Canis lupus familiaris: one gene and its partner. The protein of the gene in region 2 purifies or fractionates together with the protein of the main gene of each other region. This does not show direct contact. Links are inferred from orthologs where the notes say so. Each region holds a gene or a part of one and is shown on either strand. Other genes may lie near its edges.

Region 1 (3,949 bases), on a different chromosome or scaffold from region 2:
AGCATTAAATGTGTTAATGTGAAGAGGGTAGGGAACAACCCCTCCTATGTAATAACTGCTTAATGAAAAGTAATGATCACTATTTCGTTTTTGGCTTTGGGAATTTAATTGGACCTAGAAGGCCTTTCTAGGAAGTTTGCATTTTATCCTGTTAATCATAGGCAAGGAGAGTCGGGTTGAGCTGTTAGATGAGAGACAGAAAGGAGAGGGACCTGTTTGGAGACTGTTGGCATACTCCTGAATAGCTCTCATAGGGTGGCGGGGAAGAGTCTATATGGAGTGGGTTCAAGAGGGAATAGCCGGGGGCTCACGGAGACAGCAAACAGATAACTCATTGGAGGAATTTTGCTAAAAAGAGTTGCAAACGTACAGTAATAGGTGGAAAATGTAGGGCAAACGGAGTTTTCTTTTCTTCTCTTAAATGGGTGAGCTGAAAAGTAAAATGATTCAACAGAAGATAAAAATTACCAACTGGGGGGAATCCTCAGAGGGAGATCTCAGAAGTCCACAAGGGATGCGAGCCACTGGTAAAATGGCACGATTCGTTGGGTCAGGTAGCAAGGCGCTCAGTTCCAAAATTACTTCCCCTTCGCTGATGGGGAGATCATTTTCCAGAGGCCGGACGGCTGGACCCAGAGCCCTCCGGCTTCTGCACGTCCACACCTCCGCACTCGGAATAGAGAAACCCCAAGGGTCGGCAAAGAAGGCGGGGCCAACGGCAGAGGCGGGCCTACGAGCGCGGGGCGGGGCTGGGGGCGGGGCCTCGGGAGGGCGAGGGGCGGGGCTTGTCGGGGACGTGGTCCCGGATGGCGGGTTCCGGGGAGCGGCCTGCGGCATGCGCGTCCGGCGGACGTTCAGGGGCGTTCGGCACCGCTGGTGTGAAAGCGGGCGGGCTCGGAAGGCCCGAAAACCACAGGCTGAAACATGAGGCCAGTGGAAGGCCGCGGAAAGTCGGCTCCGGAGCGGCTTGGCTCCTGCAGAACGCCGAGGGGCGTGGCGTCTCATCGAGAAACGCGTTACCTTGCGGGGCGAGCCCATGAGAGGCGGGGGCGGGGCCTGCGCGAGGCGGCCCGCAGGGATAGGGCGCTGGCGGTTGTCCCGGCCCGGTTACGGCTCTGCGCACGCGCGTCGGGCCGGACCAAAGGGCGCAGCGGATCCGAGTGAAAGCGCCACCGCCAGCTCCGGGCCCAGCCCCCCCCCCGCGCCGCGCGCCCGGGTCATGTGACACGAAGGGCGCCGAATGCCTCGAGGCAGCGCCATTTCCCGAACGTGAAGGCCAAAGTGCCCCGAGGGCGGGAGACGCCTTCTGATGCGATCTGACCTCGACCCGCGCAGCCCGCGGTGCGGGGTCGAGCTCAGGCGCTCGCAGTGCGCGGGGGTCTGGCTTTAGGAGAGGGGCACGCACGCTACCTTGGGGGCGTGGCCTGCGCCTTCTGGGTGACCTACACGCGGGGTGGGTGGGCTCACCACTGGGGCTGAGATTCGGGTCCAGGTGTGACAGAGGCGGGGCTTCCCGCCAACCACTGAGAAGCAGGTAAGTGTGTAAAGCTATCTGGAGGCTGTTCAGGCCGCACTCGACCTGTGGTGGGCTAGTTTCAGTGGCGGCGGTGATGTAAGGGAGGGGGAGGGGCTGGCGCCGCAGGAGGTGTGGCCCGGCCCGAGGGGCGTGGCCTGGCTCTCGAGGGGGCGTGGCCTCGTGAGGCGTAAGGGGCTTGGCTGCGCGGAAAGTGGGACGAAGAGGCGTGGCCCGGCATCCGTGCGGGAGGGGGTTACCTTCTTCCGGAAGAGAGATCTACGTCCAGCTGCTCGCTGGCGCTGTCCTTTCTCTTTCAGGTGCCGCCTCATGGAGACCCTTGCGGCCGCCGCCCCTGCCCGGAGCTTCTTCCCCTCCTTCCTGCTCTTGGCCTGCGGGACGCTGGTGGCCGCCCTGCTGGGCGCCGCGCACTGGCTGGGGCTCTTCTATCAGTTGGTGCACAAGGTGCGGGGGCACAGATCAGCGGCGGGCTGGGGGCAGCCAAAGAAAGAACGAGCTCCCGGCCCTCCCTCTAACTCACATATTTTGCAGGCGGAGCAAGTGAGGCCCGACTCCTTAATGTAGGGGACTCGGTCGGGAAATTCTATCCACCTCCCTGTCCTCTGTTTGCCAGGCTGCAGGCAAGGCCCTCCTGGACTTTGCCTCTAGAAAGAGATAACTGCAAGTTGCTGCCCCGGCGCTCATCGCCCTTCCCCCTCCTTCCCCAGCGGCCGGGAGCCCTTTTCACAGAGCACTGCTCCCTAAATGTGGTGTGGTCACAGTGGGCTGAAGGCAGGCCCTGGAGGGGGCCTGTGATAGTTGTCATGTACCTCTCAACACCTCCCTGAGTAGTTGCTTTTGTTTCTCTCTTCTTTTCCCGAGAGAGCTTGGAGGTAACTTGCCATAGGTGATGGTTTTTGGAAAGAGTTGACAGACCTCATTCTGCACTGCTTGGCTCCTCCCTCAGGAATCTATCTACCCCTGCCCCCCAACTCCCTCCTCAGTTCCTCTTGTCTTCACCAGGAGCAATGGGAGCAAGGCTACTACTAATCTTGAGGATTTGTGGAGGTTTAAGGCAGAGGCCTCTAGTGTGCAGGGCTGTGAGAAGGCCGGGTCTGGGAAGCCTCAGCATGATCTGTGCCAGCAGGCTGCTCTCGTGCCAGGTACTTGGTAGCTGGCCTGCCTGCCTAGTGAGTGGGAGGAAGTCTAGCAGGCTAGAATCCACAGTCAGGGTGCCAGGCCCTGGAGGGGAGGCAGTTCTGGTATCCTGCCAGATGGCCCCTGGTCAAACTACTTAGGGTTCTCTGGATCCACTTTCCCTCTCCTCTCCCTGATTGCCCCACCGCCCCTGAGACAGGCAGTGTAACAAGGGGGTGCTTGAGAGCATTGGTTCTAAGCGACTTGGACTATTGCTTGGGCAAGTCTTGGTCTTCCTAGCTGCAAAACGATATAATCTCCAGAGAATCTGATGGGATGACATGTCCTGCTCTGGGCCTGGCCTATAGTATGATAGATGCCTAACCAAGATCAAAGTTTCTCTTACTGACTCTGTCCTGTCCTCCTTCCTTGGGGGAGCAAGATTGTCCTCTCCCTACCTGCCCTGGTGCTTGATAATCTTGCTCTTCCCTGTGGGTGCAGGTGGACAAGGCAAGCATCCAGCATGGTGGGGAGAATGTGGCAGCTGTCCTAAGGGCCCATGGTGTGCGGTTTCTCTTCACACTGGTCGGTGGGCACATTTCCCCGCTGTTGGTGGCCTGTGAGAAGATAGGCATCCGTGTGGTGGACACCCGCCATGAAGTCACAGCCGTCTTTGCCGCTGATGCTGTGGCCCGCCTGACCGGTGAGGGCAGAGCAGAGAGGGCTGAGGGCTGGGGAGAATGGGATAGGAGGTGTTTGAGGGGCAGAATTTTTTCAGATGTGGCCAGGAGGGTGGGCACGGCTGTGATGGATTCTGTGTTTTAGGGACGGTGGGCGTAGCAGCAGTGACAGCAGGCCCTGGTCTCACCAACACAGTGACTGCAGTGAAGAATGCCCAGATAGCTCAGTCCCCGGTCCTGCTTCTGGGTGGGGCCGCCAGCACGCTGCTGCAGGTGCCCTGTCCTTGGGTGGGTGGCGGGGGTCCCTGGGAGCCTCAGAGAGCTCAATGTGTTAACTCCCTGGACTCCTCTGTTTCCACCAGAACCGGGGTGCACTCCAGGCCATTGATCAGATGTCCCTGTTTAGACCACTGTGCAAGTTTTGTGCTTCTGTGCGGAGGGTGCGGGACATTGTGCCCACTCTGAGGCTTGCAATGGCTGCTGCCCAGTCAGGCACCCCAGGTAGGTGAGGGGTGCTGGGCAGTGGTCAGGCCCTATGGCCTGGGCCTAGAGAGGCATGGCCGGCTCAGTAGCCTCCCTGCCCCTCTTCAGGCCCAGTGTTTGTGGAGCTGCCCATCGA
Region 2 (3,509 bases):
AGACAAGGAACAATTCTGAATGATAATTCTCCAATTGGGACTGGCATTATGGAGAAGGCCATATAGATCAGGAATGGCCAGCTGCTAAATTAAGGGAATGAGAGGTGACCCTAAGAGGATGCCAGACTGGGGGTACTCTAACCAGGAGTTGCAGCAAGCCAGAGTTCTCTTGGCCTCACTGTGGGAAGAACTCAATTTTGATTGCTCTCCCTTCCAGCTAGAGTCTATTCAATAAGTATTTACTGAGTGCTTGTTCTGTGCTTTGTTCTGCCTATCTCCATATCTTGCATTTCTCCCTCACTGCCCTAATCCCCGCTATACCCTCCCTCCTATCCTCAATTCTTTCTGGCCTCTAGTTTCAAAGTCCAGTTTCCTCTAAGCTGGCAGAGTGGACCTTCTGCCTTTTCATCATCTCATCCTTTGCCTTCCCTCCTCCTCCCCCTGCTCCTAGAATGTACCTTTCCTATTCTATAATCACATTTCCCCTCCCCTTGCTCCCCTTCATGTTCATCTGTCTAGTGCTTCATTGTTTGTGCACTCCCTGGTAAATTCAGCAAATATTTACTAAATACACACCATGTGCCCTGCCCTGTGCTTGAAGCTATGGGTAACCAACTAGTCTTTGTCAATATCCCTTTCCCCAAGGAATTTGAAAGTATGTCAGATTCCTGTGAGGAACACTGAAATAACAAGACAGTGTCTGATTGGGAGTTCAGATAGTGTATGTACAAGGAACGATCATACCCAAGACAGATACTCCACCTTATGGCTTTCCTATCTATTATGTTATTTACTCTTTCAACCATTCCATGAAGTAGGTAGGACAGGAGGTACCTCATTTTGTAGACAAGGAAACTGAGGCTCAGAGGAGTTACCCCAAATACATGGTTACAAGTGGTATGCTTGAACAATGGGTATACAATGGCTGGGCAGGGAGGACAGTGAAATTGGGAGTCTGGTGGGGCAAGGGTTGCTTATCGAGGATCCATTCTGAATGGGGATTTGTAGGACTTAAGATTAGAAGTTAGGCTGAAACAGATGTGTCAGAGCCTTGAATTCCAACCAGAATCATTTGTCTATTAGACACAAAGCTGTGACAAGACCAGGAAAAATTAGGGATTTTTTAGATTTTTACTAGACTATTATGAGAGAGTAGACTCAGAAAGCTTAGTTTAAATGCTGAACTTTTAAAAAAGATTTAAAAGGATATGCCCCTGGGACACCTGCGTGGCTCAGCGGTTTCGGGCCGGGGTGTGATCTTGGAGTCCGGGGATCAAGTCCCACATCCTCCCTGCATGGAGCCTGCTTCTTCCTCTGCCTGTCTCTCTCTCTCTCTCTCTCTCTCATGAATAAATAAATTAAAAAAAAAAAAAAAGGATATGCCCCAAAATATAAACACTGGTTGTCTATGGGTGGGATTTTTTTCCTTCCATCTGGTACATTCTATAGATTTTCACCTTCCACAGTTAGGAAGAAAAATAATCATTAAAAAAAAAAATTATTCCAGAGGACTGTGCCTATGGAGGGTGGGGGGTAGTCGGGAAACCAAAACTGGCTCTTTCAGCACATCAGACAAAAACTCCTAGGCTAACCTTAAGTAGTGGCAGTGCAGTTAGGGGTGAGGCAAGGTCAGAAAGCTCCTGAGGGGAAAAAAAAAAAAAAAAAAGAAAGCTCCTGAGAATAGAGAGGAGAAACAAAGATGGTCTCATGCTGTGAGCTGGGAAGAGGAGGGGACCCTGAACCCTAGAGAAGTAGAGAGGAGGAGAGATTTGGAGGGGAAGGGAATGGGTCCACTGCAGACATTTAATGGGAAGTTACAACTAGGTACCTGGAGAAAGGCAGGTGATGGCAGCCTGGGAGGTATGGCCCACTGCCCCTTCCACTCACACTGCCTCTTGCTCCTCAGGTACTTGCAGTGGTGGTACCGGAAAACCCAGGTAGAGAAGAAGACACCTTTCATCGACCTCATCAATTGTGTACCTCTGAGACAGATCTATGGTGAGCCTCACCCCAGCTCTGCTCTGCACAGAAAGGGCCCAGACTCTGGGTCTGCTGCAGAGCTAAGCAAAGAGGCTTCTAGCTTACCCACAGTGAACTGCCCTATCCCCTAGGGTTTTCTTTCCCTAGCTTTACTGAGCTATAATTGATACCAAACATTGTGTAAGTTTAAAGTGTATAATGTGTTGAACTGCTATCCCTGCTTTTTTTGAGAAACTCATCTTTATAGTCTAGAAAGTGAATAATGGGCTTCTTTTCCTCTCCCGATGCCCCACTAACCATCCTGATTCTACCTCTAGGTTGTCCTTTGGGTGGCATCGGGGGAGGCACTATCACCCGAGGCTGGAGAGGCCAATTCTGTCGTTGGCAGCTTAATCCTGGAATGTACCAGCACCGGACAGTCATCGCTGACCAGGTGAGAACCAGTAGGTGGGGGACAGGTCCAGAACAGTACCCCAGCCCAGGAAGAGCCTCTTGGCCCATGTAGGATGTAGAAGTTAGATATGCTCCTGTGCACATGATTCATTCCTGTAAGTATATTTAAGATGCTTTCCAGGTGCCCACCCTTGTGCCAGGATGTACTAGGAATGAGATACTCCAAGAGCACACGTTTCTCAAAAGGATAAACAGCCCCAACACCCCTGTGCCCTCCATTTCTCTACTAAATGCCTCCTATGTCCTTCACTCCCCAGCTCCACTAGCTTTGCCAGTACCCAGCCACAGAGGATGCAGGAAATTTCTAGATCATATAACCTGGTTAAAAGAACATGTAGTAAGACAGAAGGGAAAAAAAGCCCAAAGTCTCTAAATACATGGGGGGGGAAGGTGTGTAGAGTACCCACTGTTCACCCTGATTTGCCACCCTTAGCTAGAGATCAGCTCCTCTGCTGGTGACCACTCCTCTGGAGGTATCCCTGGCTGAGGGCCTGGGAAGCCCTTCCTCTCCCCAGCATAGATCTCTAGCCTTTTCTGAAGCTTTACTTCTTTTCCCTTGTCCCTTCATCACACATGGGCCCTCGATTGCCAGAGTCACATGGTCTACCTTTCATCATCTCTCTAGCGACCTCACAGGTGGAGGTGTCAGCCACGTTTCCATTTCCTGTCTGAGAGATGCCTCCAGCTTTCAGCTCATCTTCAAAGAAAAAATGACTAGCAGACCTTGAGTCCAATTAATGACAATGCCCTTCCTAGTTCAGGTTTACCAGCCCTGCCCAGTGCCCCAAGCTTCCTCTCTGGCTCATCCATTAGGTATCCTGAGGGGAAGTGCCTTCCAGAATTGTGACTCTAGAGTTAAAGTAATTATTGCATGCTTAACATGTGCTAGAGATTGTGCTATGCATTTTTGTGTGATATTTAAGATTTAAAGACAGTTCCTACAAGGTAAGTACCATTATTATGCCCATTTTATAGATGAGGAAACTGAGATCCAACAAGATCTAGTAACATACTCAAGGTCATGTGGTTGGCAAATGGAAGCATTGGGATTCAGAACCAGCTCTCAATGTGGTTAA

What was found. The genes of interacting proteins can lie anywhere in the genome.
Region 1: the proteins of GBA2 (region 2) and ILVBL purify together in Homo sapiens (co-immunoprecipitation; 3 studies listed by BioGRID and IntAct, counting the BioPlex papers as one, with this or other methods). This does not show direct contact. The link is inferred for Canis lupus familiaris from reciprocal best matches to the Homo sapiens genes GBA2 and HACL2.

What each region holds. Positions count from the first base shown.
Region 1 is NC_049241.1:47,426,068-47,430,016, forward strand, and holds the start of ILVBL (2-hydroxyacyl-CoA lyase 2), read left to right. Parts: upstream 1-1,143; 5' UTR 1,144-1,534; intron 1,535-1,833; 5' UTR 1,834-1,843; coding exon 1,844-1,978; intron 1,979-2,056; exon of another isoform or gene 2,057-2,541; coding exon of another isoform or gene 2,542-2,676; intron 2,677-3,151; coding exon 3,152-3,353; intron 3,354-3,475; coding exon 3,476-3,603; intron 3,604-3,692; coding exon 3,693-3,831; intron 3,832-3,921; coding exon 3,922-3,949. UniProt on the Homo sapiens protein: Endoplasmic reticulum 2-OH acyl-CoA lyase involved in the cleavage (C1 removal) reaction in the fatty acid alpha-oxydation in a thiamine pyrophosphate (TPP)-dependent manner. Involved in the phytosphingosine degradation pathway.
Region 2 is NC_049232.1:52,566,082-52,569,590, reverse strand, and holds part of GBA2 (non-lysosomal glucosylceramidase), read left to right. Parts: intron 1-1,906; coding exon 1,907-1,998; intron 1,999-2,297; coding exon 2,298-2,413; intron 2,414-3,509. UniProt on the Homo sapiens protein: Non-lysosomal glucosylceramidase that catalyzes the hydrolysis of glucosylceramides/GlcCers (such as beta-D-glucosyl-(1<->1')-N-acylsphing-4-enine) to free glucose and ceramides (such as N-acylsphing-4-enine).